2 linked regions of the Arabidopsis thaliana genome follow. The protein of the gene in region 2 purifies or fractionates together with the protein of the main gene of each other region. This does not show direct contact. Each region holds a gene or a part of one and is shown on either strand. Other genes may lie near its edges.

The links.
Region 1: the proteins of CH1 (region 2) and OEP80 purify together in Arabidopsis thaliana (affinity purification with western blotting, with the first as the bait; one study listed by BioGRID). This does not show direct contact.

The regions. Positions count from the first base shown.
Region 1 is NC_003076.8:6,616,301-6,632,713, forward strand, and holds OEP80 (outer envelope protein of 80 kDa), read left to right. Parts: upstream 1-6,896; 5' UTR 6,897-7,022; coding exon 7,023-7,730; intron 7,731-7,823; coding exon 7,824-7,917; intron 7,918-8,291; coding exon 8,292-8,374; intron 8,375-8,482; coding exon 8,483-8,580; intron 8,581-8,721; coding exon 8,722-8,791; intron 8,792-9,068; coding exon 9,069-9,162; intron 9,163-9,342; coding exon 9,343-9,424; intron 9,425-9,510; coding exon 9,511-9,546; intron 9,547-9,649; coding exon 9,650-9,803; intron 9,804-9,877; coding exon 9,878-10,018; intron 10,019-10,194; coding exon 10,195-10,265; intron 10,266-10,386; coding exon 10,387-10,465; intron 10,466-10,541; coding exon 10,542-10,657; intron 10,658-10,774; coding exon 10,775-10,922; intron 10,923-11,005; coding exon 11,006-11,075; intron 11,076-11,186; coding exon 11,187-11,341; 3' UTR 11,342-11,594; downstream 11,595-16,413. Other genes in the region: SULTR3;5 (sulfate transporter 3;5), read right to left, coding at 258-591; GNL2 (GNOM-like 2), read right to left, coding at 1,446-4,557, 4,643-5,172, 5,260-5,745; AT5G19630 (alpha/beta-Hydrolases superfamily protein), read right to left, coding at 11,847-12,169, 13,274-13,637; AT5G19633 (uncharacterized protein), read left to right, coding at 15,134-15,203, 15,292-15,413. UniProt on the Arabidopsis thaliana protein: Plays an essential role during early stages of plastid development.
Region 2 is NC_003070.9:16,844,483-16,859,414, forward strand, and holds CH1 (Pheophorbide a oxygenase family protein with Rieske 2Fe-2S domain-containing protein), read right to left. Parts: upstream 6,790-14,932; 5' UTR 6,671-6,789; coding exon 6,584-6,670; intron 6,529-6,583; exon of another isoform or gene 6,456-6,528; coding exon 6,219-6,455; intron 5,951-6,218; coding exon 5,846-5,950; intron 5,768-5,845; coding exon 5,492-5,767; intron 5,410-5,491; coding exon 5,262-5,409; intron 5,187-5,261; coding exon 5,002-5,186; intron 4,914-5,001; coding exon 4,801-4,913; coding exon of another isoform or gene 4,725-4,800; coding exon 4,430-4,724; coding exon of another isoform or gene 4,347-4,429; coding exon 4,182-4,346; 3' UTR 3,826-4,181; downstream 1-3,825. Other genes in the region: AT1G44414 (zinc-ribbon domain protein), read left to right, coding at 3,299-3,604; AT1G44478 (Cyclophilin), read right to left, coding at 7,859-8,187, 8,291-8,396, 8,496-8,603, 8,718-8,756. UniProt on the Arabidopsis thaliana protein: Catalyzes a two-step oxygenase reaction involved in the synthesis of chlorophyll b. Acts specifically on the non-esterified chlorophyllide a and not on chlorophyll a.

The sequences.
Region 1 (16,413 bases), on a different chromosome or scaffold from region 2:
CATGAGCTGCATGGCTAAACGGTAGACTATACATACATATACAGAGTAAAACCATATTTGGAAAACGTAAATTCATATTTAATTAATATGAAAACAGAAATAAGTTTTTTGTTGTATTGCAAAATCGAAATTACACCTTTCTCCGAAATCACTTTAAGAAATATGATTTTATCATTTTGTAAGATTATATTTCGTGATGATTGTTGATGGATGATGCATAATTAAAGAACAAGAAAAACAAGAGGAAGAGATCTCACATAGGCCTATGATGGGAGGGATACTGGCGAGCTTAGCATAGCTGATGCCCTGAGGAACAGCAAGACTGGTGATGGTGATTCCGGCGAGCACATCATACTTTAGTTTTTGCATATCATACTTTGGGAGCCACTCAAAGATTGGCACAAAATACTCCAATAACTTCTTTGTTTTTAGCAAACGGTTTGGCTCTTGCGATATCGGTTTGAATGGATCATCGGGAAAGAAGGTTTCTTTACATTTTGACTTAAATTTTGAACCAAAGCCTCTCGGGGTCGAGAAATTTACTCCCCGGCCCTTCGGTGAGGAGGTAGAGCTCGTTATAGTATTCTCCATAGTTACAAAAAAACAATTGTATGTGAATGAGAATACACACAACAAGCAAGGAAGAAGTAAAAACCTTTCTGTGTACTTTGTTACTTTAAAGTTCGTTGTAGAGAACAAATTAGACTATTAGAGAGTATGGTCGTTTATATAGAAGGATGGCCAAGGAAAGTGGAGAATACTGTTACAGAATTATTCCACGTTGACCCATGTTTTAATTAGGCTTGTGTGGTCTTTGTCTTTTTTTGGTTATAAAATCTGCTAATCTTATCTTTACTGCAGTTGATTCGGTATGTAATTAATATCCATGTATCTTACTAGGTTCATTTTCACTGTCGATTTTTTTTTTCTTCTCCTTTTCTTGACAGTGTTGATTTTTATTGAAAAGTTGTGTTTCAGTAATTAATCAAATTACGAAGGACAATAGATAGAAAAATTGTTATATATATGAATCATATTTTTTGGTGTGCTTCACAATTACATAAATAGTCAAAATACTTTAATATTTTGTTCCAAAGGATCCAATTATTTTCTTCCATTCAAAGAATATAGAGTCACCACATCACATCCAAAATTTGTTACCATTTACGAAATTAGCTAATCTTATCTTATCACATTGCATTGCTTCAAATCACTCTTCTATGGAGTTAATGTGTTGTCTAAAAAAATGGAGACTAATGTGGTATGTGGTAATTGAATGAGACTTATAAGGGTATATATATTTAATATGGATTATTTGCCATAAAATTGATGATTGCTCTATGGAATTAGTAGAAGCTATATATATCCAAAATCTCATGACTTCTTGAAGTTGATCATATAATTTGAGCATTAAATCATGAATTACATAGTACAATAATAAAAGTCTAAATCTCTTCATCGGGAAATAACTCATCCTTGAGCGCTGGAGCAATCCATTGAATCTGAATATACGTAATCTCCCAAAGGTCATCGTCTTCCTTCTGCACCAAAATCTCTTTCTCCTTCATGGTACCAATCATGGTGGTCAAAAGTTCAGGGACAACCTCTTGAAGTTTGTTATCTCCATACTCTCCCAAATCCGCCTTCATACACGTATCCATTCTCCTCAACACTCCTAACCAAAAAGTTCTAAACTCAGCACTTTCTACAATTTGTTCCAAGTAAACCAAGAAAACGTTCATGAGCACTTTCATAGCTATCTTCAACGTCCCCTCCATGCTTCTCATCTCTCTTTCCGCGTTTTCGCGCCTTGAATAGTCGAGAAGCTTCTCATGCAAGTCATCGATTGTTGGGAATATGACATGGTCTATGCAGTATATACAACCAGAAGGTGTGAATCCAAGATCTTCATGACCCATGGTGAAACTTTTCTCTAGAGACGTCACTGCTCTGTTCCTTATCTCTTCTCGGCGTGCAAGGGTCGTTTTTCGAAAAGCCTCGGAGAGTTTGAGGAAAAGATGATGAACAAAGTTAACCCCTCTCAAGTTGTTTTCTTCCATGGATGATGAACTGCTTGTGTTGCTTGCCGGGCTATAGCTATTCGCGGTATCAGTAGAGGCAGTTTTGTACCATTTTACCAACATTGTCACTGAATCTGCCATGAGATCCAATATTTTCAAGTTCTTCTCAACAGAGCTATTTCTTAAAGCAACAAAACTGAAGGCGCAATCGATGCAATAAGCGTAGCTTGACTGCGATAGATGCGATGCGTTAAATGACATTAAACCGATGAGAGCATCCACCGCTTGCTCTTTGGTCTCTGGATGTCTTCCACATAAAGAAAGTAGTTGTAAAACACTTTTCCACCCTATATTGGTATGCAGATTCGCAGAGTAGTCTATAATGATCTTGCTGACAAACTCTGTTATTGTGTCATAACATGTTTCAATGATTTCTTTGTCTATCTTCCACATTATTGTCAAGGACCTAAAAATCAACTCCTCTGGTAGATGGTCTTGAAGGTTAGAAGCAAGAATCTTGATGCATACCCTAAATAAACCCGGGAGCCCTTTTTCGACAAACGGAATGGGTGAAAAGAGCGGAAAGTTTGCAACGTTGAGTAGATATTCATGGTAACTTGGCCAAAACATGTTGAACCGGTGGACGTTAGATAATGCAATGGTTATGATCAAATCCCAACAAAACTTAACCGTCTCTTCTTCTTCGATAGCTGTACTAAACTTCTGTCCTTTCCCAGCAGCTGCATAGATTAAAGACCGACCAAGATTCAACACCGCAACATCCGGCAACACTGAGCTTTTGCTGAATATTTGACCGATCCTGCATTGTTTTATGACTTTAAGGTTTTGTTCAAACTCACTCATTCCAAGAGCTACAGATTCTTCCACGTTGTCTAATGCCAAGAAGTGTGAAAACCGACCCATTAGACTAGAACCTTGTCGTCGGTTAAATTTTGTGTCCTGGCTCGAAACATTGTTCATGTCGGATTCTGATCCGCCATTTTCTTCATTTATCTCAAACTCAATAACAGACTGTGGAAGAAGCTGAAGCTTCCTAAGTTTCAAGAGGCAATCCACAATGTTCCTCCACCCTCCTCTGATAGAATCACCAAATGTGTTAGCGAGCGTGAAAACCGCGAGAGTAGCCATTCGCGGTTTCATATCGTGACTAAATGCAAACAAAGTCTCTTCAGGTGTAGTGTAAGGGTTTAACAACGTTGTGAATTTACAAAAGGAAGCAATGAGCTCATCAAGAATGTCTTCAAGGCCATACTGAGCAACTCTTGCTATAGAGATCATAGCATCAACACATTCATGAAGCACTTCATCATCATCTGAATGCTCAAAGAATGCAGAAACTGCTGCTATTGATGGACCTGCAATGGTTGCAAACATATCCCTTCCTATTCTACGATCAAACTGACATAAACTAAAAGGTTGTGTAGTCTTTGTTCTGTTCATTAGCTCAATCCATCTGTTTGGATTCATTTCCACCGGACCGGAATGTGTCGATAAAGCGAATGCATTTGTTGCAATGGACTGAAAAAGCTCAGAGAGGTATTCCTTTGGAAGGTCATTTCCCGCGTTAATTGCCCTGTTGTTGCGGATAAACTCATCTTCTGTCATTTTCCTCCTAACTTGAGGGTTATGTTGATCCGTGTTGAGCATTATAAGCGAGTAACACAAAATGTGAACAGTATCTTTGCTTGCAAAAATATCAGATGATTGTTGATCATAGAATCTCTCAGAGAAGGCTTCAATCATACGTTCGATCTTTTGAGACTCTCCCGGTAACCGAAATGACTCAAGAAATGTCCTCAATGCGGTATCAAGATTCATACCAGTGAACTCAAATGTATGTGTAAAGCTTCTAAGAACACTGAGATGTAATTCATCAGGATCTCCAAGGTAATCTCCAATCATTGTCTTATCCAAACCCGGTGTGAATCTGAAAAATGAAGCTAATGCCATTGGATCAAGAGGATCTGAGACTAAGTAGTTATACTTCAAATACTCCAAACCCTTTTTCTCATCTCTGTTGAAATGATTTGCAGCGATCGCTAGCTTTCTCTTCTGAGCTTTCCTTACTCTTATATGATCTACCCACGTCTCAAAATCCTCTTTTGGCTTATCTATCCAAAAGGGTATGTACTCATGAATCTCAACAGGGCTTGGCTTAATCACATTGGAGTTATTATCATCTTCTTCATTACCCTCATCTTCCTCTCTATCCATATTGTCGGCGATGTTGTGAATCAAGATCACAAGACCTTCAAAGGCTTGGATTTGTATAGAGGTTAAAGGACCAGAGGTAGGGAATGTATGTCTGCATAGAACTTTTCCGGTCTCTTCAAATATATTTCTACACATCGGATCACAGTCGTAGTTTACATAAGCTTCGACTATGAAAGCAGGTTGTCGACAAAAGTTGATTAGCCCTTCAAGAGCAACTTCTTGTAACGGAAGGAAGCCTGTGAAAGCTGTAACTCTCAACAACACGAAGGAGAAGAAAGCTTCGAGTTGTAGCCTCATGAACCTAATAAATCAACACATTGTTGTTAGACAAAGTTGAGAATAAACAGAGTTTTAGGTTTTAATGTTATAAAAAACAGAGGACTTACTTGCGGAGGAAGTGATATATATTGAGTATACAACTACAGATCATTGATAGCACAAGAGGGCTTGAAGAAGCTCCATAATGGATTAAATGGTGAAATAGATCGTCCTGAACCATCCGAAGAAGCTTAGGGTGTTGCCCGATCGCATCACCGCTTAACTCAATGGCGCTATTTATTAAAACTAAAGCAAAAATCTGCACATCTTCGTCTGCAGTGTGAACGTTTGTCCCTTCTAAGTTCTCAACAACTTCAACAACATTGAGCAACGAACATAAGAAATGAAAAATGTCGATGCAACATCGGATTCCATATCCGCCGCTCATGTCGATTTCGTCAGTATCAGATTCTGAATCCTCACCACCTTCGTCTCCTCTGACCTCAAAATCAGGTAATCTGGAGAAAATGATCTGAATCAGCTCATGCATTGTGTATCTTCCATTTCGTTGCAGCAAATCTCCTCTACCGGTAGATTGTTGCACTACTTGGAAACATGTATTGACTATTGTGCAAACCGCTTGATCTTCTAATAACTCCTGTTTTAATACATAACTTATTATTACTGTCTTAAAAGAGGACAAAATAAACATTTGTAGTAAAAAGATTATAGTTAATGAACGTACAGAGGATGGATGTTTCATGATTCCGGTTAAAACTTGAAGAATCCTCATCATTACAGCATCTTCAGACACCAAATCTGTTTTCTCCAAACGACAACTAGTAATCCCGGAGACAATAGAATTCATAGCATCTTTTGCACCAGGTGTTTTCTCATCGAAGATCTCGATTTTAAGGATCTTTAAGATGGAGGAAAGAGCGACAGCTGTGGCGCTAGCCGGAATCTCATCGCTTTGAATAACTTCGAGGAAAGGAGAAAGATAAACCGAAGGATCTATGGTGCGCCAATCTTGTTGAGGATTGAAAATAAGAGCTCTAAGAGATTTGAGAGATTGTTGGACTGATGAATCACAGTGGTCTGTTTCTTGGGGAGAAAGGTAACTTTCTGAAAGGGGTCTACGAATGACGGCAAGGACTGCACCAACCTCCGTGTTAAGCATGCATGATATCCCTAGCTCTTTCCGCTTTGCTCTTACGGCGATACGATCCATTTCTCACCTTATCACACTCTTCTTGCCGATAAAGAAGAAAAATCATTCAGCAACTGTTTTTTTTGTTGTTCTTCGTTTTTATTCTTTATGTGTACGGTGTTGCCTTGCCTTGGTTTGATCCTATATTTAGTATATAAGTTTTAGTGGCTGAGACTCAGTGATGGGTGAGTTTCAACCATTTGTCATCACACATCTAGGAAAACTCCATCATCAGCTACCGTCAATTTCTTTAAGGCTTAAGATAGAAAACTAATGTACGTTCTGCAAAAATTCAGATTTAAGGATACATTATTTGGATCAAACGTATGTGTTCAAGGTTTTTTTTTCTTCTTCTTTTAAAGTAGAAGCAAACTCTACGATGATTGGAGTGGAAACCATTTTTGTAGGATTAGGCCTCTTCATACTGATCTGAGTCAGACTTTGCATAGCTGAAGTTTTTTTCCTCTACTATTCAATTAACCAGTAGAGAAAAACTGACGCTTAAGAGGTTAATGGAGCTTAAATTTTACCAAATTCAGACCATAACTCTATTTATGTACTGGTCCTAGTGTTTCCAAGAGAATATATCTCTCAGCTTAAATTTTACTAAAATTCAGACCATAACTTATTTATGTACTGGTCCTAATAAGATGAATGTTTTAAGGGTTTATGGCTTGCTTAAGAAGAGCCAAAACTCTCTATAATTAACAAGTCTAAAATTGACAAAATTAATATAATTGGTTTTGTTACATGTTTGTGACCATAACTACTAAAAAAATTCACAGAAAAACTATTCAATAATCCTTGTTTGTTCATGTGTGTGATCTATTAATCAATAAAATCAAGAAAATGGATAGGAGAAATCAACTAACGTTTTTTTCTCAAAAATCTATTTATTTATTTTGATTAACATGTTTTGAACGTTAGTTAACTAATTTACCCTACAAAAAACTAATTTACCGTCAAATAAATGAGAAATCCCCTTAATGAGAAATTGATTATTTTCCAAAATATTTATTTGACGCAATTTTATTTTCATTTTTGAAAATCCAGTAATTTTACAAAACCTAATAATATACTCAAAGGAATGTTTACATAAAACATTCAAAAAAATAATTTGTTTTTTGTTTGTTCGTAAATGGGCTTTAACATCACCTCCTTTTCACTCTATCATCTTCTACTCCGAGTCTCCGAATCAAAAAAAACCCTAGCTCTTATTTTTTGTTCTTAGATTTTATCTCTTAAGCTCTTCTTCTTCCTTGACATTTCCTCAATTTCACTCCCGAGTACGATTAACAATGCATTGTCACAACGATGATGTTCGCTTCTCTTCATCTTCTATCAGAATCCATTCTCCATCTCCCAAAGAACAACACTCTTTACTCACCAATCTCCAATCCTGCTCTAAAACCTTCGTCTCTCACCTCTCAAATACTCGTAACTCACTAAACCAAATGCTCCAGTCGCTAAAGAATCGCCACACTCCTCCTCCACGTTCGGTTCGTCGTCCCAATTTACCGACTCAGATGCTCAATTCAGTAACCCAGCTTATGATTGGGAAGTCTTCTCCAATTTCATTGTCTCTTATCCAATCCACCCAATTCAATTGGTCTGAATCAAGAGATGAGAACGTTGAGACAATCCGTGGACTAAGCTCGCCTCTGCTCTGTTGTGCCTCTTTGTCTCTAACTAGACCTAACGAGTCGACTCAGTCAGTGGAAGGGAAGGATACAGTACAGCAGCAGAAGGGTCACTCGGTGAGTCGAAATGCGGAGGAACGAGTTCTGATTAGTGAGGTTTTAGTAAGAACGAAAGATGGTGAGGAACTTGAGAGGAAGGATTTGGAAATGGAGGCATTGGCTGCTTTGAAAGCTTGTAGAGCTAATTCAGCGTTGACTATTCGTGAGGTACAGGAGGATGTACATAGGATTATAGAAAGTGGGTACTTTTGCTCTTGTACTCCTGTTGCTGTTGATACACGAGACGGGATTCGGTTGATGTTTCAGGTAATATTTTGATTGTTACTCTTTTTGTTGGAGGAGAAAGGTCTCGTTTTTATGTTTCTGGGATGCAAATAATTCTCATTTTCTTGCCATAAGGTAGAACCAAACCAAGAATTTCGTGGGTTAGTCTGTGAAAATGCAAATGTTCTTCCTTCCAAGTTCATACATGAAGCTTTCCGAGATGGGTTTGGTACGTATCCTCCAATTTAGCTTGTTTTTTTTTCTTCTGTACTGTACTAGACTTATCTGTCAATTCATTGATTTACGTTGGGAGTAAAATGGATTAATGATATTGGAACCTGACAAATATTTCGAGTACTAATGATGAAGCTAAGAATTTTCTAACACATGGTGTAAAATGTGTTAGCCTTGAATGAAGAAGATAGATTAGAGGTAGGTAGTATTCTCAAAATGTATCCATGCTCCAAAACAGAGCATAATTTGAAGTTGCATTTAGTTTACACATATTAATGTATTGAGGCTAGTTAGGTGGATTCCTTCTGTTCGGTGTGTGTTTGATTGGAGAGGGTAATGGTTAGTAAATGTTGGTGTCAAGCTGTGTAGGGAAAGTGATTAATATTAAGAGACTGGAAGAAGCTATTACATCCATCAATGGATGGTACATGGAGCGTGGTCTTTTCGGAATTGTAAGTGCTCTTTTTACACCATAATTACTTTTTCAAAAAAAAAAATCATCCTGGATTCAGTCTTATACTTTGTGGTTAGAATCATCATTCTGTTGTCTGCCATTGTAGGTTTCAGATATTGATACGCTTTCTGGAGGTATAGTAAGGCTTCAGGTTGCTGAAGCAGAGGTTAACAACATATCCATCCGATTCCTTGATCGTAAGACGTAAGCTGGTGCCAATCCCTCCCTTATGAATGTAGTTTATATTGGTTTAAATTGTAGGCAATTCTGGATGGCACTGGTAGCTTCCTTTTATTTCAACTATTAGATTACGATTTCATTGATAATGGTGCCTTCTATATTTAGTGGGGAACCAACTAAAGGGAAGACTAGCCCTGAGACAATACTACGGCAACTTACAACAAAGAAGGGACAGGTATTTTTTGGGCATTTCTCAGCTTAGATGTAAAGATAAGTCGCTGACTAAAACATCATAAACTATCTGAGCTGTATTTTTATGCTAAATAACACTTCTGAGTGCATCATCTGTGTATGAAATCCTTTGGAGATCTTATTTTTAATTAAGGTTAATCACTCTTTATGGTATCATGTATGTTTCTTCGTAAAATTTGGCCTTAAAGTCTTTATGCATGAGCGTCTAAGTAGGGCCTCTACATACACATCTTGTCTAATCTGGCTTTTGGTCAATTTAGGTCTACAGCATGCTTCAAGGGAAGAGGGATGTAGACACTGTGCTAGCCATGGGAATCATGGAAGATGTTAGTATTATTCCTCAACCTGCAGGAGGTGTGTAAATATATTTCTTTCTTTTCAGCTAATACTTTTAATTTTCATCTTGTGCTTAAGGTGCAGTAGTATGAGTGAAGAAAGTATTTTCCTTGCTTATCCTTAGGCACAGTAACAAAAGGTTTTGACAGTGTCTGATTCTGAAACTTTCTTCTTTTCCTTGTTTTTTATTCCTGTTAGATAGTGGGAAGGTTGATTTGATCATGAACTGTGTCGAGCGTCCCAGTGGAGGCTTCTCTGCTGGTGGTGGGATATCTAGTGGGTAAGTTTTAGTTTGTTTGCTACTTACAGCGATTCAATTTTTTTCTTTTGTAGCTTGATGACAACTTTTGTCCAATTCTTTTGTAGGATCACAAGTGGCCCCCTATCAGGATTAATTGGAAGGTAAAAGTAATGTATATTTTATTTGTAATGATTTTTTTTTTATTTCTGGCCTAGGCTGTGTGTATTACATTACTGATGTAGTTGAAGTAATCATTTTATGCAGCTTCGCTTATTCCCACCGCAATCTGTTTGGAAGAAACCAGAAGCTTAATGTTTCCTTAGAGAGGGGTCAAATTGACTCTATATTTCGTATAAACTACACTGATCCATGGATTGAAGGAGATGACAAGAGGACGTCCAGATCTATTATGGTTCAGGTAACACCTTTACTGGTTATCTCAATGAGATTGCTGAGATGACTAATAAACTAATGAACTTCATCTTGAGTTAGAATTCAAGAACACCGGGGAATCTTGTTCACGGCAATCAACCAGACAATAGTAGTCTCACAATTGGTCGGGTTACAGCAGGTGTTGAATACAGTCGTCCATTCAGGCCAAAGTGGAATGGTACTGCTGGACTTATATTTCAGGTCTCTACTGTTCCCAATATTTTCTAAGTTTCTGTACCAATCCAGAGTAATATTGGTGTTAAAGCAATTAAAATATATGTTCTTGTCGTTTCTGACTAGATCCAAACTGGTAAATTTTTTACTTTTTGACCAATATATACGTTACCCTTAATTTCGTTTTGAATTTCATGTTTCAGCATGCTGGTGCTCGTGATGAACAAGGAAACCCTATCATTAAGGACTTCTACAGTAGCCCTCTAACTGCAAGGTATATATATGTCCCAATTCCCAAAGAATGATTTGTCTTTGGTTCTGCTCACTGTTTTCACCAATGCTGTATTTGGCCATATGAATTTGATAGATGCCATTATTAATGTTTTCTCATGCAGTGGTAAGCCCCATGATGAGACCATGCTAGCAAAACTTGAAAGCATTTATACTGGCTCAGGTGACCAAGGATCAACGATGGTCAGTCTGATACCTCTGTTGGTACATCTTCCCCTTCTTTTTTCAGTGCCTAATTCTATCTGTATTTTTATACCAGTTTGCGTTTAACATGGAACAAGGGCTTCCTGTTTTGCCCGAATGGTTATGTTTCAATCGAGTGACTGGACGTGCCAGGAAAGGCATACACATTGGACCAGCTCGTTTCCTTTTTAGGTATGCTAACTTCCTTTGAGGCATATAATTTTCTTGAGGTCTCTATTTACCTTTTGGGATTCGAATCATCATTTCTAAAGTTTTATATAGTGTATCTTACCTTGTTCATGTTTATAGTCTGTCTGGTGGACATGTGGTGGGAAAATTTTCACCTCATGAAGCATTCGTCATCGGTGGAACAAACAGCGTAAGAGGTTACGAAGAGGGCGCTGTAGGATCTGGTCGGTCATATGTAGTTGGTTCAGGGGAGCTGTCTTTCCCAGTGGTGGGTTTTTCTTTGAACATTCCTAAGATCTCATTTCACAATGGTGTAAAAATCATGACTCTCATTCTTACCCTATTGTGCAGAGAGGACCGGTCGAAGGCGTCATTTTTACAGATTATGGCACTGATATGGGATCAGGATCCACCGTCCCAGGTACAGACTAGGCTTTCGTTTTTTTTTTCTCCTTCTGAGCCTTTCCATATATGCTTGTAATAGCTTTAGAATCTCAGGGAACCTTCATCTTTGTTATTTTCTGCCCTTTAGGTGATCCTGCGGGGGCAAGACTGAAGCCCGGAAGCGGTTATGGATATGGTTTAGGGGTGCGTGTTGATTCCCCGTTGGGGCCGCTACGCCTTGAATATGCCTTCAACGATCAACATGCGGGAAGGTTTCACTTTGGGGTTGGTCTGCGGAACTAAATTTTCCTGTTTCTTTTTTAGATTCGATAAGTGTTTTGTCGGCCTTTGTCGCACATTCATCTAGATGATGCTTGTCTATTTTGATAATTTATATCATCTTATGTAACTCACTGTTTTGTGAGTGGTTTGTGCATGGAGAGAGATGTCGCGTATGAATGCTTTTCATGTAGATGATTTTCATTTTACCAAACTCCCAGTTAAAATTATTAATAGAACCAAGATTAGGATTTTTATTCTTCATCCTAGTATGAACCTGATTTGTCTCCTTAGGATGTCACATGATCGTGAGCAAACTCTTCTCGATGCAATTGCAAAGCTTGAAGAAATGTCCGATAGAGTGATAATAACTCAACATATGAAAACAAGTCTTTTAGTGCGTAGTGTACAGGGACATCAAACTCCTATCGTGCTAGTAAAGATTTATCCAAGTAATTTCCGGACATACACCAACGTAGTTCGACGAGGATGTAATAATCCCCTAAGGTCTATCTTTTCATGTGGTATTTTACAGGGATGAAATAAATTTACATATAATATCGGTCACCTGAGAATCATATTCAGGTCCTTCCATCTGGAAATGACTAACGCCTTCAATGAGGTGTGTTTCAGTGCGTCCGACTGCAGATTTCAGCTTCTTCTTTAGCTGGCTAACGCTAGTGAACCCGTCTTGTGTTCCCATTACGAAGAGTTTGGGTTTAGGGGATGAGAGAATGGCCTTGTGGTGTCGCCCAAAGAGAATCGAGGCCATTAGGCCAAATGGGTATCCCAAACTCACATATCCCACCACTTGCTCTACTTGCTCCACCGCTGATCCTGCGATTGGTGCACCTGCCAAAGAGTCAAAACTTCAATTATTTTTCCTTTAACCAATATAAAGAAGTTGGCATGAGATATCAAATTTGTCTCAGAATATTCATTTGAAAAGTAATGTGATCACTTCATCCATTAAACACGTCATATCAGAAAGTTAGTCGGTCACTATGATCAGTATAGGTAAGAGATGTGTTAGATGCTGTAGTATTTTATCTACAAATTTCTTATTTGCTATTGGTTCTATGCTCAGCAAGAAATTATGGAAAATACATTATGTGTAACAAACACGCAAAGAGATGCAAGTATACCAATAAAAGGGGGCACTGAAAGCAATCCTAGAAGAACTGATACGTTCATAGTCTTTAAAAAACTCCTGAAAGGACTCATATATCATCAATTGCAGTTTTGCAAATATGTGTAAGGGACATCAAAACAGAATTATGACACACAAACAAGAAACAGAGTTATCTCGGTAGATAAGAAGAACAAACGAGAATTTCCTTTGGGAGACTGTAACATCTGATAAAGTCTACCTCAAAACCACCTAGACACTCTAAATTGACTCTGTTCAATGTTAAAACAATGCTAATCTTCTTCTTTCCACAGTGGATTGAACTTTCTTACTCCATTCTCATCTTATCAGACCATCACTATACTCAAACATGGAACGTCAATTACATCAACTAAAACCACTTAGAGATACACGAGAGAGAAAACCTGGAACTTAACATGACCAACACCAAACCGGAACAAAGTTATCTCAGCTGATAATATCAACTAAATGAGCAAACAAAAGAGCATAAGCATAAACCTAAAACCAATTATTCTGTGTCACCAATCCGTTGTAATGTTAATGAGAAGTGAATAAGCAGCAAAAGGGTCACATTTTATCTTAAAAACCAACAGATCAAACACAAATTTTAACATAAAGCAATGCCCAGAATCTGTATACGAATCCATATACTGAATTCGAAATCAACTGTTACAGATCAACTTGTAAGAAGCAATTACCAGATCAAAAACATCAGACTTTAACTTGCAATCAAATTCAAACTAAAACCAGATCAACAACGAAAGGAGCAACAAAATCAAAACTTGAATGGCATAGAAGAACCTTACCAGCAGAAGAACCCACGAGCAGGATCCTATGAGCATCAACATTCTGACAAAGCCACCGACAAACAGCGACCACATCCTTGACCTCAGCAAAGCCGGTAAGAGTAGCTCTTCCGGTGGATTTTCCGGCACCTCTCGTATCGAAAGTGACAGACTTGAAACCCTTAGAGGCCAATTCAGAAGCTATGCCTTTGAGCAGAGCTTGACAACCACCCAAGAGCGAGAACGGGTGGACCAATACTATCACCAGATTCTCATCGTCGCTGACTTCTTCTCCTTCGTTTCTGGGTTTGAAGATTCTCGTGTGAAGCTTCACCCCTTCTTCTGAATCAACGCTACACGATTCCACTATAAAGTTTGACGACATTTTAGGAGAGACGACGAATGAACAAGTAAGGAACTTTTTTGTTTTACACTTCTTCCAGAGTTATTAATATGTTGATAACCACTACTCCACTAGCACGAAGCCAAAATTTTCTCAATATATATATATATATATATATATATATATATATATATATATATATATATATATATAGATTACTAATACTTGCAAAAAAAGTTCTTTACTTTTAAAAATCAATATATTTATATAGTAATAATTGGCTAATAAATTTATATATTTCAAAATAAGATTTTAAAAATTATCCACAAAATAAAATCAACGGTTAGAAGTTCTACTCAATGTTAATACTCTTCATTACGGTGTGCTTTTGGACCATGTTTGGTTTTAAATAATTCTTGTAAAATTATACTTGTGGGGCTTTTGTTTATTTTAGCCCATGTTTATTGGTTCAGTTTAATAATATCAGACACTTGTGAAAAAAATAAAGATTATAAAAAATTTTAATTAAAAAAAATATTCGATAATATATCTCATATATAAATTTCTTATTTGATATTTTTCTGTTGAAGTGATGATTTCATATGTCATAAATTATATTGTAAGAAAATGTGCATATTAGTTATTTCATATTCGCAGTTCAAAATTATATACTTATTAAGATAACCCTTTTTGATATTATCATAAAACAAAAATATATTTGGTTTTCTATTTTTGTTTGAATTGTATATGATCAGAATGGCGTTTTTTTGTTTGTTCAATAATAATTTTATTAAGTCACCACCATATTGACTAATTAAAAAATGGGATTGTGACACGTTTAGGCACTTTTTGATAATATTATTCTTTTTGAGACACTTATGAGAGAGTGAGCACTTTGCCATCTTTTTGAGAGAAAATTGGACCAATTTACCCCTAAAGTAGTGATTACGCAATAATTTTAACTCATTATTGTTGAGATCGTGTGGGTGAGAAATTTTCTTCTTTTTATCATCTCTCTCTTCCATATTCTTTTGTTTTTCATCATTTTCAATTCTCTCTTTCAAAATCATTGTTGTTCTCTATAATTCTTACAAAATCATGGTCGTTCCCATTAATTTTCTCTCCTTTCCATAAGAAATCACCAATCTTCATTATACCATATATAATCTCCTCATAAACTTTCGATTTGTCGTCTCCTCATAATCTCTTCATAATCTCCAAGTTTGAGATCCACGACAACAAACCCAGGAAGAAGATGATCATCATCCTTGCGATTCTCAGAATCCTCTAACAATAAGTTTCTTTGTTATTGTCTCTACTGATTTTTTCTGTTTATATCACCGTGAAATTCTAGATATTACGATGTTACAGAGATTAGAGGTCTTTGTTCATCGTGAATTTACTTGCGATTAAATCGAACAATTAGTGGATTAGGCTTTTATAGTTTGCTAGTCATGTTTTTTCTGAAAATATTGAAGTTATGGGTTTAATTTATTTGAAAACTGATAGAGAAGCCCAAGTTGATATATCGAACGTTGATGGATGTGTTTGGTAAATCTTTGTTCGTGGATAAAAGTGTGTTTGTAGCTCGCTCTGCTTTTGTTATTGGTATGTGCATTATGGATGGCTTATTATGGATTGTGAATTATGGATTGTTATGGTGAGATTTGTGAATCTTTTCATGTTTGATTAATAGGTGAACAATCCCAAAAACAAGCTATATGTGGTGATTTTGTTACAATGATGTCCATATTAATTGGTGGTTACAGAACACTTGCTGCAAAGGCTACAGAACAGTGGCTGAAAAGCGGTGGATAGAGGACATTGACGAGTGTCCAAAAAATCAAGTCCAAATGGTCACCTAGTAACTCACATGTCGTTTCATATCAATGCACAAATTTAGACATGAACAGTAATCGTCGATAAAAAATTGTTGAGCTTTTGGGGTTCTTCCTCTATTTAACTTTTAGAGGTTCACTTCTCTTACATCTCTCATTTCTCATTAATGCTTTGCTTAACTCACTCATTTTAACACAAGCACAAAAAGAACCTTCACTCTCTTTCTCTCTAGTCTTTGGTTAGTTTCTTGTTTTGACACGAAGACATAAAACGATTAGTAAGAGAGAGAAAAGAGAAAACATTAGTTGTCAACATTTTTGTATTGGATCTAAAGATAAATTCTTATAACAAGACATACACACATTTGTGGATGGTTATAATTGTTAAATCCAACTTTTAATTTTACTGAAATTACAGAAGATCTCTACAAGGTCTCAAAGGCTCACGTTGTATCCATGAAGCTAAAGTTCATGAACCAAAATTAGCAAAGGCTGTCCACAACACTGACTGTCATTATGATGTGTGTCCATATATCCAACGTTTTATGGTAGAGTTTATATAGTATAGTATGTGAATGTATTAACCTTGTGGATGTAATTGTATGGTTAATTTTGTTCATTTAATAAGATTAACCAAATTAATTGGTCATGGTTTCCAAAATAATCTCGAATCCTTTGTAAAAAAAAACTAATCTGCGAAATATAAGTGAAGAGAATCAGAGCTAGATCCACGTTTGAGAGGATAACGTCCTCTTGACGGAGATATGATTGTTGGAGCGGCAAAAAGATAGGGTCTAGAACTTCGAGAGAAAGAGAGAAACGTAACTTGCCCAAGTGGTTACAATTTTGATGCGGTTGTTGAAATTCGGGAGAGGCTTCACGATCATGGAATCGAAATCGAAAGAGAGAATGTCGATAGCGTTGTTGTAATTTTCGAGGAAACTTCTGACGGAAATTCTGTGACCGGAGACTTTCACATG
Region 2 (14,932 bases):
TGGACGCCATTTGATGGTTCAGGGGTATTTTCGTCTGAATTTGGCTGAATGGTTAAATGGTGGAAGACCCATTTTACTTTGCCAAATCCTGAAATAAAAACATGGTCAATGGCTACTGTATATAATTTACCCAAGAAATCAAGCGTTTTAGTCGAAACCAAACATGGAACACATAGGCCTAGAGCACCCTTTACACGTCCAAAGCAACGTTTTTTTTTTGTTTTTGTTCAAAGTCCGAAGCAACCTAAACCCTGTAAAACTTTGACAAAAGACTTGAAAACTCTAAACACTTTTTGAATCGATAAAAAAGAAACATACAAAGACCAAAAACACTTCACGTCAATTTCAAGGCCATCAAAATTAAGAGTTAAAGCAAGTGTGACCAAAAATTGTCACCCTCAAAATTATGGATTGCAGTTAGATAGATAAACTGCATTAACTTGACAAAGCTTGAATGAACTACAAATGGATCGTATTTTGTCTTCATAATATTCCATATGAGTGATGCAAAAAGTTGGAAATAACCAAAACCGTTATGTTATGTTTGTAGTGGAAACCCGAAGACACAATTCCTTTAAAAGCAAAATATCTTAACGTTGAAACCTCCTTTTTTTACACGGTCATTTCCGCAGGACCAGTTGAGGAGGGATGGCTAACAGTGCGATTGTCAAGGGCCAGTTCCGTGTCCTAATATTTAAGGAATCCATTTAAAGAAAAAATTTGGAAAAAATAAAAATAAGATTGAAAATGTCTCACACTAAAAAATATATGATTATTTTCTGGTTACAAATTTGCATTAAAAATTACAAAAAAAAAGTTTTAAACATTTTTCTATAGAAAATAGTCAAAAATATATATATATATATATATATATATATATATATATATATATAGATGTAGAAATGGTGTATTCATTGGAAAACTTGCATGGAATTATTGATATTTGTTTTGATATGATTAGGCTATCAATTGGACGAATAATTATTATATTTTACTGACATGATCAGTGGATTTGTTGTAGAGTTGCTTCACTAATGATTCTCTTCAGTTCTTAATTTATTATTAGACTTCACCTAACCAAAGATCGTATTCCTAGTACTTAATAAGACTTTTGTTCTGAGTAGAAGAATGCTAGTCTTTTCTTGTCATTGTTTAAAGAAAAGAATTCGAACTCCCTGAATTTTCAATAGCTCGGTATGGAAAATTTGGGGTTTAAAATGTTATATTATGTCTGTACCATTTCAGACATATGAGGCCATGAGGTGTCTAAGTTACAGGAGTGAGCTTACGTTTAGATGCAATCTCATGGTTTCAGTTGTTGTTCCCTGAATGGATTTTCTATAAGGAAGGAAATGTATTTCACAATAGTGGTGAAGCTGAACATGGTTTTGGCTAGAACGGTTTTGTTGGAACATGAATCGGTACACAAAAGATGCTTTTAAGGAGAGGAATTTGAACTGCAGCTGATGAGACCCAAGTAATGGCTTTGCTTGGTATCCACGATTTCTTCGTTCTTTCATGAGTGCCTTTGGTTAGTATCCACCCTTTGTTTCTCGAATGTTGAGATCATTGGTTTTCTCTACTTTATATTTTGATTTATATTTGTTTTTGTTCCCAAACTTCACTTTTGGTTAGTGAGCTTACCTTGGACCATATACCTGTTGTCGCTTCACTTTCTGTTAACAACAATTTTACCCATAAGCCCTAATTAAGTATTTAGATATAAGGCAACAAAATAGAGGACCGTAAGCTCCACTTTTGGTTTCACCACATCAGAAAACTATCTTTCAAACAGATTTGACTTTAGGCTGCTCATACTACCATTCTTGTTTTGTTGCCAATTTACCAAATTTCGGGTTTCCGAACCTAAAGCCCTTCACTAACATGTTACTTAAGATTTAAGAACACATAGGTGTTTGCAGTATACTTCATTTACAATTTAACATGTTTGCAGTATACTAACATGTTACACCCAAATAGTAACACAATACAACACTAGCATAAATCAGTAGAGTACATGTGATGGGAAAACGGCTTTTATCAACTCAAACTTTTTGTTGGCGGGTTTTTCCAACCTGAACTCAAACCTTTGATTTATTTCAAACCTAAACCTAAGAATTATTCAAATAATCTACCTGAACTTAAAGAAAATTAGACGATTTCAACATAAGAATATACGGTGATAATTTGCGATTAACGGTTGATGAATCAAACGATTTGTGGCATTGACGTGGCATTTGGGCAGGGATATACGATGTCGTTTTGGTCTGTTTTATGGATGTGTGGTATGTATAATGAACACGAAGCATGCCTTCATGTCTCAGAATGAGGAGGCAGGATTTTCAACCCCTCATCGACAAAGTGAATAGTTCATGGACTTCTCGGCACCTTTCTTTTGCGGGAAGACTGCAGCTTCTCAAGTCTGTCATCTTCTCTACTATTAATTTTTAGACCTCCATCTTCCTCTTACCCAATCAGTGTTTACGAAAACTGGAGCAAATGTGTAATGCCTTTCTTTGGGAAGGAGCCCCTAATTCAGGCAGAGGTGCAAAAATATCCTGGGAAATTGTCTGTACCTCCAAAGTCTGTGGCGATCTTGGTTTGCGTGACTTAGTGGCTTGGAATAAGGTGCTGGCTCTAAAGCTTATCTGGATACTTTTCACAACTGCGGGCTCGCTCTGGGTGTCGTGGGTAAGAATCAACCTCATAAGGAATAAGAATTTCTAGGAACTCAATCCCTCGACCTCAGGAAGCTGGATTTGGCGCAGATTATGTAAGTTGAGGACCTTAGCCCGTCTCTTTCTTGTTTGTGAGATTCGCTCGGATGTTACTGCAAGTTTTTAGCGCATTTACAAAATTTAGTTTTGACTTCTTAAAATTCAATATAAAAACTTTCAGTTTTGTTTTTAAATCGTTATTTTATAACATTCAATAACATAAATATATATATATATATTTATATATCCTAGTTTCAAAATATAAGATGTTTTAAAAAGAAAAAAATTATATACCTACGGTTAAAAGATTTTGTTTTAATGTCCTATGTAAAAAATTCTATTATCTTGTTTTTTTGGTCATTTTCTACTAGAAAGTTAGAAACCACTAGAACAATAACAAATGCAAAATAAAAACTTTCGTTCTTACATTCGACTAGAAACAACTAGAACAAGAACAAAGGCATCACATTTACATTAAAAACTCTATTACTATATTTATTTGATGTCCTTAATACGAAATCTTAAACAGATACTTTTATTGAACTCTTACGAAGGTTACGAGGAGAATAAAACGAAAAAAAATGTTCTTCTTCTTCGTCGGTGGATTAGGGCAACAAGTGAGACAAGTCCTAAAATCCGGCGCCGGAACATGCATAAGATGCGGTTCTCAAGCCGATTTGGTCGAGTACGACAAAGTCATAAAGCTCTTCTTCGTTCCTGTCTGGAGATGGCCTGGAAAAGATCCTCTACTTCATTGTAGAGACTGTGATCTGTTCTTCCCTCAGTCTCTGTCACCGCCTCCAGTTTCTTTAGCTACGTGTCGATTCTGTGATCGTGTTGTTGAGCCTGAGTTCCGTTTTTGCCCTTTTTGTGGCTCTTCTCTGTGAGTCTTGGTCTGTCCAAAAAAGTTGATCTTATCTCTCTGATTATATGTCTGTAGTAACTTTTTAATACATGTTTTGGTTTACAGTTTACTAAGTCTATAAGTTGTGTTCAGTGTTCTGTCCTAAACCCAAATCATTCATATACAGAATGTGAAATTTAGTCATGTACTTGGATGGTAATATAGTATGGTTAAATTGTCCGGTAAAAATTGCCAAATTTTACCACCAATGCTAAGAAAATATTAGCTTTCTTTTTGCTGAAGAAACTTTCGATTGGTTCTTAGAAGACATTAGTTTAGTGGGGAAAACTGATATTCAATTTCTCATAGAGAGTGAACTGTACACAGGGAAAAATGAATAACAATATATCTCCTTTGGATTTACAGTGGATGTTGTCCTTTTATCTACGCAAAAGTTCTTTGTTTCATCGGTTTTTTAGATGAATCCACAAACTCCAGATCTTTTACTCGGCAAAGCTCTTTCTTCGGTGAGAATAAACCAGATTAATAACCTACACTTGTCTGAGGTTGCTGGTGAATAAGGAGCTGCAAAAACTTCCATTAGATTTCTTTAATAACAGTTAGCCGGAGAAAGGTAGTTTATCATCGCCACGATCTACTGCGTTCCTCCATAGTCTATACCGAACTCCGAGCTTGTCATAAGCAACTGGTAAATTCCATATGTTTGCTCCGTTTAACATCCGTTCTTGTTGTCCTAAAACTAGCCGTAGATCTTCGTTTAAGACCTGGAAATATAGAAACGGTAACTTAAGAAACAAGACTGTGACGATGGTTGAAGATGATCGATCCATTTGTGATGTACTTTTACCTGTTCAGCGAAATGTCTCCACAGATGTTCCATGAATGGAAGATTCTTTAATATAGGAGCAAAGTCTAGTGACATTCGGTATAGAAGTCTTGTCTTGTTTTTAGAAGAAGGTAAACAGACATGGAGTTGATGAAGATGTGTTGCACACTGCTGTGTGCTTTTGCCTTCTAGTTTCCCGGGTTTTGATATCCCGATTGTCGATAAAACAATACACGGTGGTTTAAATTCCATATCGATTGGATATGGATCCCAGTATCCTTGGAGACCCGAGGTAGGTGTTAAAAACTTCACCAAACTGCAGTACCAAAAACAGAAAGCTTAAACCAAGTTTCATCTTAGCACTGAACAGAGTAATGAGAGTTAAAAGAAACCTTGGGACACTCCAGCCTTTTGCAAAAGTGGATGTATGAGTGAATGGGGCATGAGCAAGATCCAAGAGATTATCTAGAAGTAAACCGTGTTCCACCGGGAGGTCCATTACAAGCTGAGAGTTATATAAGAGAACAAATGAGAAAATGCGGCATACATATGAGATGATTGGATTGGAGATATACTTGAAATGTAAGAATTACCTCAGCATGAATTAAAAACCCTGATGGAGGCTGTAAAGAAGGAAGTATAGGTGCAGGTGGCTCATCACCGGGCCAAATCCAGATCATACCTTCTTGTTCAAGACAAGGTAATGATTTGATCTTCACCTTCAGTAACTTTGTAGACGGCATCTTCTTACATTCTCCATCGGTTGAGTATTCCCATCCTACAAAATCACATTTAATAAGATATGGTTTCTCACTTGTTATCAACATTGTAGACTAAAGAAAGAGTTACTAACCATGGTACGGACATTGAATACGTCCCTCGTTCACTGTGCCAAGATCAAGAGGACATGCTCTATGCGCACATGTATTCCGTACACATCCTGGTTTCCCGTCTTCACCCCTAAAGATAACCCATGGTTGTTCAAAGCATTCAATTGGTACCTTAAGAAATAAACAATAGCATTTCTCAGAAGCTTGTAACTAATGGAAGACGCTTAAATCAAGCAAGAACCACTATACATACCATTGTATCATGCTTGAGATCTGCAGTGAAAGCAACGGGATACCAAAAATTCTTCAAGTGTGGACTATAAGGCGGAACCGGACCAGAAACATTCAAGCTTTTCGCACCCGTGTTTGTCTTTTCCCTATCTAACTCGACAGCAGAAGCAGTGGTTGAAGAGGAGGGTTTATCTAATTCCGTTACAACTCTGCCAGGTAACAACCTATCATTAACCAATTCTTCCATGTGGGCTAACTTGTCTAAAGCAGTCGAAACCCTTGCTTCAGATATATGAACCTGTTTCATTTCAACTAAGAGTTAGAGGAAGTCTCATAAAAAAACTAATCATTCTCAGTGAATAGCATTGTTAAAAACCTGTTGGTGTGCTTTCGATAATTCTTCCTGCAATCCAGCTAGTTCTTTCTTCACTGTACCGATGGACTTGTACTCACGAGCTAGAGGATTAAGTACATCAACAACCTAACATACATTCATTCCACAAACTTAGCATCAAAACACTAAACATAAACCATTAATGGTTGTCAAATGTCAATACTATAAAGAGTGCTACAAAAACAACATTTGAAGAACTTGAGCTACTAGAGTCATAGCTATACGTCTACTATATATACCCTAGAACTAAATGTAGCATATTATAGCTATGTCCTTAACTACAACTCGATAAAACACAACTTTACCAACTAACTAGACATAAACAAGTTCAAAAGAGATCAATGTAGAAACAAACCTTGTCATGAAGAATCATAATGGTAAGAAGATCTTGACGAGCACGCCAATCCAAGTATTGAATATCAAACCTAGCAACTTCAATAGCTTGATTAACATCTAAAAACTTTCCTTTATAAGGAGGAGCTTTTGATCTAGGATCCTCCACATCAAACAAAGGTCTCCATTGACTCTTCTTCTCAACTAATCCACTCTCATCACCAAACACAGCAAATACCCTAAATTCTCCTTTCACGCCCTGTAACCAAACAATCACTCAATCACTTAAAAATCTAAACTTTTACTAAACCCATATCGCAAAAACGTAACTTTGACACTGATTACAGAGTTTGAAGCCAAAAGTGGAGAAGAAGAGTAAAAAGTTACCTTCTTTCTGGAGAGAAAAGAGGATCGGGTTTTAGAGAAGGAGATAGGGAGAGATAAAGCAGAAGGACTAAACACGGCGGCGTTCATGGCGTCACCGGAAAGAGAGTGAAGAAAAATGGAAAACGAATTTTAGAAGAAAGTTTGAGATTTTATCTTTTTATTTTATTGAGATTTTTTTTGTTGATAAGAAAAGGATTTTGCCCGCGATCTGAGAATGCCTTCGGGAAGATGACACGTGTAGAGAGAATTGAACACGTGGCGGTATTAATATCCACATGATGATGAAGAGGGATTTGCCAGGTAGGATTTTCTAAGATTAGCTTTGCTTTTGTGAGTTTTCTTGTAATGTTTTGTCATTTTCCTGGTTTGGTTGTCCATCACTAGTTTTTTTTGTTTGTTTAATGTGAAAATAATGTATATGTTATTTGTGCTATGGTATTTATTGTATAAAGAAAAGATAGATTTAAAAGAGTGATTAAGTGTAGAAAAATGAGGAAACATCTATTTTAGAGAGATAGTAGTTAAAATACCCAAATTTATTCAAACTAAATTGAGTTTCATTGTCCAAAAACAATATTTTTGGGATTGGCATTTGAGATAATTTGAAGTTGTTGACCAAACAGAGTATTAAGTTACATTTTGAATCTTACATTATTTAGGATATCTTTGTTAAATTATTGTATTATGTTTTGGTTGATTCATTTAATATGTGAAAACCTTATACTAAACTAAAAATATATTATACTAATTTACTATGTAAACTCAAATTTGAGATAAATTGGATTTTAGACTTTTTGGTTATTATCTCGTGCTAAGATGGTTTTCTCAGTCGTGTTGAGAATCATGGGATCTAAAGCAAGTACAAGAAACATGATCTATGGTAATTGAAAAAAAAAATGATTATACCATTATTATTTTAATAGTGAGAAACACACTAATAAAAATATTTTAACCATAATTTATTTTTGGAAAAGTTGGAGATAAAGGAGGTTTGTTTAAAGTCCATATATGCATTCTAGAGTAATATGTCACTTATCTCTAAACTAACATTTTATCTATTTAATCAAATTTTTCAAAAAAAAAAATCAAGCAACTCGTGAAAAAAATGATGAAGAAGACATGAAGACTCATGTAATGTCAAGAATATGTCATTTTTGTTGCCGTTTTGGATCGTTAAAATTTGATTTACGAAGTTAAAAATACACATTCTAAAGTTAAAATTTATGTATTTTATATACTATACATGTTCGACTAAATCTAAAAGTTATTTCGTTTCTACGTCTGCCCTATCTCATGAGCCGGGACATGATGTAATCCCCACTCTCGTTTCTTGGCGGCATATTTTTCTTCTGTGTTCATCATCCTTACGATCTCTTTCTCTTCTCTTTGTAGTTTCTTCTCCTTACTCAACTTATCATTGAAAACCCTCTCCAGTTCTCTGAACTCTTGTCTTCTACCATCGTACTTGCCTGCCTTGTCTTCAGTATAACGTTCATCTCCGTGTCGTTTTCTGCCTTCACCATAACCATGAGAACTTCTCCTATGAATCTTCTCACTGCCATGACGACGAAGCTCTCTCTTCTCGGGACTTTTGGCAACATGATCTCCCGACCTTGTAAAACATTTTGTTAACTTTCCATGTTTTGGCAAAGAAAGGATTTCATGAATCATGATTTGTTTGGTCTATATAGGAAAATGGGCTTTTACCTTTACCATGTTGAGAGTCTTTCCTCCAGACCTGACGCCAAATTTTGAAAGAACTCTGATTAAAACCTACATGTATTTTTCTATCATCAATAAAAGTACCGTCCATCTGCGTAAGAACAACAACTTGTTAAAGCTCCAAACAACACATGTATATATACATTGAATGTTTTAAGACGGGATGGTTCTCATCGCTTAAAAAAAGAACATGATCACCGTGAAGGAATCTGTATATTGAATCTCCACTAGTTCCTGTGCCGGTTGGATCACCTGTCTGTGCTATGAAACCCTTTTGCACATTTTGAAAGACACACCCCTTATAGTAATTGACTAATTGACCTAACAAAATTTTGAGTGATCAGTTACAAACCAAACCTCATGGAATCATATATATAGTGAGAGATGTTTCCTGAATAAGAAAGACACTTACTTTCAGAGCTTGAGGAAGCTCTTGCAGGTCAAAGGACATTTGTCCGTGTAAAGATCAATAACTATATCCCAAGGCTGCTGACATGTTCTACCTAAACCAAAAGACGAGACGATTCTAATGTAAATGCTTAATGTATTGAATATTATTAGAGTAGGAATGTACATATATATACTAAGGCACAGCCCTATGATTAGGGATTAACTAATTACAATTATGTCCTTTAAGACTTCATGTGTAATATACTCTATACGCTCCCTCAAGATGGAGGGAGTTGACGAACTCCAATCTTGGAACGGGCTGAAAGGAAATGTGGACGAGAGAGAGACTTGGTGAGTGCATCAGCGAGTTGATCATTTGTGGAAACGTGTGAGACTCGGAGAGCTCGTGATTGAATCATGCCGCGAACAAAGTGATAATCCAGAGCTATGTGTTTCATGCGTGAGTGAAAGACTGGATTGGCACATATGTAGGTGGCTCCAATGTTGTCACAAAAAATGGTTGGACCGTGTGGTAATCGAATGTGTAATTCTGTGAGGAGAGAGCAAAGCCATCGGATTTCAGAGGCAGCGTTGGCCACCGCTCGATACTCCGACTCCGTAGATGAACGCGAGACACCACGCTGCTTCTTAGAGGACCACGAGATGGGGTTTCTCCCTAAATAGATGACATACGCATTGGTCGAGACATAGTCAGCAGAGTCACCGGCCCAATCTGCATCGGAGAAAGCATGAAGATGTATTGGAGACGATGAATTGAGGAAGATACCATGTGTGGTGGTTCCCGCAAGGTAGCGTAGAACTCGTTTTGCTGCTTGCCAATGATCGGATGTAGGCTGATGCATAAATTGAGATAGACGGTTGACCGCGAAGGCAATGTCTGGACGTGTGAAAGCTAAATATTGCAAGCTGCCTACAACAGATCGATATTCAGACGCATCGTTAAGCTTAGTACCTCCATGAAGAGTCAGCTTTGGGGAGGTCGGAAGAGGAGTCGCAACCGGTTTAGCGTCGAGCATGTTGTGTTTTGCAAGAAGATCGGTCATATACTTCCGTTGCATCAAGTGAAGGCCAGTGTTCGTTCTTGTAGCTTCTATGCCAAGGAAATAATGAAGATCGGTGGGATCTTTAATCGAGAACCGCTCCGCAAGAGATGACAGAACCGCAGAAACTGACTTATGGTCGCTCCCTGTGACAATAATGTCATCAACATATACAAGCAAGTAGAGTAATGTAGTACCATGCGAGTAGATGAACAATGATGTGTCAGCTAGAGAATTGACGAAACCAATGTTCAGAAGATGTTGCTTCAGCTCCATATACCATGCACGTGGCGCTTGTTTGAGTCCGTAGATTGCTTTACGAAGACGACACACATGCGAAGGACGATCTTTGTCTACAAAGCCCGGCGGTTGAGCCATGTACACTTCTTCGGTTAGAGTACCTTGGAGAAAGGCGTTGTTTACATCTAGCTGCTTTAGGGGCCAATTTTTCTTGACCGCAACATCAAGAACAACTCGGATTGTTGTCGCTTTAATAACCGGACTGAACGTCTCCGCGTAATCCACACCATACTGCTGATTGAAACCCTTAGCAACTAATCGCGCTTTATACTTGTCAATGAGTCCATTGGGTAGATACTTGAGTTTAAAAACCCATCGACATCCAACAAGGTGTTGCGTTGGATTTGGAGGAACTAAATCCCAAGTGTGGTTGCGTTGTTGTGCATCAAATTCATCGGACATTGCAAAACGCCATTTCTTATCCTTTAGAGCTTGAGTCACAGTATTTGGTTCGGAGAGATGTGGTTGGGTGAGAGCAACGGTGAGACTGGTTTTGGTTTTTGGTTTTGTGATGTTGTTTTTGGATCGTGTTTTCATTTGGTGATTATTTTTTGGTGGTTGAGATCGTGAATTAGAGGTGGCAGCAATGGTAGTTTGATTTGGTGGCAAGGCAGTGGTAGTTGATTTATCAACCGGTCGTTGTTCTATCGAAGAAGATGGGTTGGTTTCAGGGTTTGGATTGGGCAGTGGGCCTATGAATGGTGAGTTTGGGTTGGACTGGGCCTCAGGTTCAGGCCCATTTTCATGTGGAGCAGTGGGCTCAGAATTAGAAACAGAGGGAGAAGGAGATAGAGTTGAATCGCGTACCTGAGAGTGATGTGACGGCGTCGGACTACCGGTTTGACGAGGAGACACCGGCGAATCGTTCTGTTGCTGCGGAGGAGACGGCGTTTCCGGCGAACTCGCGGGTGGTGATTGGAGGCGAAGAACCGAACACGGAAACCCGGAATTTGCAGGAGAAGACGAGGAGGATGACTCAGGTGGAGTGACAAGAGAAGACTGGCTCTGTTCACGGATTGATGCAGCAAAAGGATATGTTGATTCATCAAACATGACATGCCTAGAGGTATAAAGCCGGTTGTTGTCAACATCAAGACAAAGATACGCCGTTTGTGTGAGAGAGTAGCCGAGAAACACACATCTCTTAGACCGTTCTTCAAGTTTGTTACGTGTATAGGGTCTTAGCCATGGAAAGCAGAGACAACCAAACACACGAAGACGCTGATAGTTTGGTGACGAGCCAAACAATTTTTGAAATGGAGACTGAAGACAGAGGACCGGTGTGGGCATTCTGTTGATTAAGTAAACCGCTGTGGCAAACGCATAGGTCCAGTATTCTCTTGGAACTGAGGCTTGAGTAAGTAGTGTAAGTCCCGTCTCGACAATGTGGCGGTGTTTACGTTCGGAGAGGCCATTGTGTTCAGGCGTATGCGGAGGAGACGTTAGATGAGAGATTCCATTGGACACCAAGAAATCTCGAAGTGCGATGAACTCTCCGCCATTGTCCGAATAGAGTGTACGTATCTTGGCTTGAAAACGGTTCTCCACAAGAGCTTTAAAGGCAATGAACGTTGCTTTGACTTGAGATTTTTGCTGCAGAGGATAAAGCCAAGTATATCGAGTGTAGTGATCAACAAGCACTAGATAATACTTATAGTTATCATGAGAGATTATAGGAGAAGTCCAGACATCAGTGAAAATGTATTCAAGTGGTGAAGAAGAGTGTATTGAAGAGGTTGCAAAAGGGAGTTTATGACTTTTATTAATAAGGCAATCAGAACAAGAAGTTTTATTTGAAGAAGCAACAGAAACTGGAAGAGAAAATTTAGATAGTAAAGTGTTTAAAATGGAGGCAGATGGATGGCCTAAACGTGAATGCCATGAAGAGAGAGTGGTCTTTGGACTAGGACTTGTGAACAGAGCCGTCGCTGGAGGATTAGTCACTGGCCACTCATAGAGGTCATCTTTAGTTCTCCCTTGGAGCAATAGGGTCCCCGTGTTGAGGTCCTTCACCTGAAACGAAGCAGGAAAGAATTCCACCGAGACTTGATTAGTATTACATAGGCGATATACTGAAATTAGGTTTTTCCGTATATCGGGTACATATAACACTTTATGTAAAGCTAAGTCACGATTTTGAGAAGGCAAGAAGGTGGAACCAGTTTGCTTAATTGTGAGACCTGTACCATCGGCAATCATAACGTATTCACCACCATTGTAGGGCTGATGAAGAGAGAGTGCGTTCAAGTCGGAGGTGATATGGTGTGTTGCGCCACTGTCAAGAAGCCATGGATTAGCTGCATAAGGAGACCCGATAGCTAGGTTGGCTCTGGGCTGCCAAGGAGTGAATGGCGAGTGGGCTGAGGAGCTTGCTGGAAGTTGCATTGCTTGAAGTTGAGGACACCGGCGTGCACTATGGCCTTGAACACTGCAAATCTGACATTTGCCTAAGTAAGGCTTGAAAGTACGTTGCCCGGACTTGTTGTATGTTGACGGCTGCGAGTTGGTGTTGGTGTTGTTGTTGTGTGTGTTGCCTTGGTAGCGGTTCTTGTGCTGGTTTTGATTGCAGTTGTTGTTGAAGTTACGTTGCTGAACTGCATTGGCTGACATAGGAAAAGAGGATGAAGGAGGTACCTCATCAGAGAGTAACTTGGATTCATGATTAATGAGTCGTTCATGAATCTCGGTGATAGTCGGTGTGTTATCCTTTCCTTCAATTTGATCAACAACAGTTTTGTATTCTTCAGGAAGACCCTTGAGGATGTGTTCCACTTGTTCTTCATGCTCCATAGGTTTCCCAAGGATAGCTAGCTGATCCAAGCGAGTGGTGTGACTTTGCACATATTCGTCAATGGTTTTGGTTCCCTTCGTGAGACGCTGGATTTGTTGCCGGAGCTGCTTGATGTGGCCGTAACTTGGCTTGGCATAGGTGTTGTTGAGAGTGGACCAGATCTGAGACGAGTTAGTGGCTCGTGACACCAAAGATTGCACGGCAGGAGAGATGGCTCCGATCAAAGCACTGAAGATCAACTTGTCTTGTCGTTTCCAGAGAGTAAACGACGGATTGGCAGAGACAACACTGTTGATGGTGGTTGTTTCTGGTGGGATGACAACAGAGTTATCAAGATAACCTGCTAGATCATAACCATCAAGCAAGGCATGGATCTGAATACTCCACATCAAATAGTTGGTCGATGTGAGCTTAGTGACATTCGACGTATTGACGTTAAAGAGTGTCTGAGGGGTGAGAACGATAGCTTCGTCTCTAGTGGCGGGGAGGCCGTTGACTTGAGACATGATTGGCGGCTAGGTTTTGAAAAGAAGAAAAAGAAAAGAAAAGTAGGTTTTAGGATATCGAAGCTCTGATACCATGTAAATGCTTAATGTATTGAATATTATTAGAGTAGGAATGTACATATATATACTAAGGCACAGCCCTATGATTAGGGATTAACTAATTACAATTATGTCCTTTAAGACTTCATGTTTAATATACTCTATATCTAATACCAAGAATTTCAAGTTTTTTTTTTTTTTTTTTTTTTTGTCATCAATTTCAAGTTTATATCTTACCAAATTACATCATTCTTCATTCTTGCAGAAAAAAAAATCTTACAAAACGAATACATACCATACTTTATATACTAAGATATTTGAATTTTAAATAGTCACCCACATATTTTTTTAATTTAATTTATTAACTATTTTTAAACCCAATTTCAATATTTTACATTCTATTTGGCAATACTATTTCACTATCTATTTCATCATAATAAACTTGATTTAAATCTACACAATTCATCTTAATCAATATGTGCTAAACTTCTTATATAAAAGTAACATATATCATATCAAATATATATCTTAGTTAATATTAACAAATAACAAATTATAATTAAATAAAAACTCAAAATTGATAAAATTTCTTGGAAAACAAACAATGTTTAAAATATAGTTTTTACCATATGATGTAATCTCATCAGTTAATTTTACCTCATGTCAAACTAATTTTAAATGAGCTAATTAAAATTAATAATTAAAACATAAAAAAATTCTAATAACATTCTCATCAAGTTTTCAAAAATATATTCCTACTAGATTTTAACCCGCGGTATACCGCGGGGACAACTTATTTTTTAAATTAGTATATATAAAAGTTTGCAAATTAAATCTATTTATTTTTATTTTATAGTTTGCAATTGTTATTAAGTAACGTCCTACCAAACCCGTCTCGCCAAATCCGTCCCCTAAAAAAAACCCGCGGTACACCGCTAATTTAAATATATAATTAAAATAAATATTTTACGGGATTGCAATTGTATTTTGGTTTGTCAAACAAATATTTGTTTTAAATAGTTGCCAAAATCTAGTTCAAATTTTGGAGAAAAAAGATTTATTGGATAGATAAAGAATGTATTTAGGTGTGTTTTGCTCATTTTAAGGGATTGCAATTATATTTTTGTTTGTCAAACATTTTTTGTTTTAAATAGTTGCTGAATATATTTGGAATAGTTTTAGTTTGTTAATCAATTTATTGCTGGAAAAAAATCAATAATTAAAAGCCAATGGCAGCCATTGTAAATAAGTCCTAACTCCAGGATTTATTTCACAAAATGGCTGCAAAAATATATATATAGATAAGCTATTTTCCAATTTTTTTGTATTTTTATAATAAAATATAAGTATAGCTATACTATTATTCTCATCTGTTTTTCAGTTTTTTTTTTGTGTTTTCCTTTAGCGAAGAAAAATACTATATTACAATGATAACTATAATTTAATCCAATTAACTTAATCTTAATAACTTGTATTGTGATTTTAAACTCGAACTGTCATCTTTTTTATTAGCTAAGTTTCATGTCAAATGATTTATTTT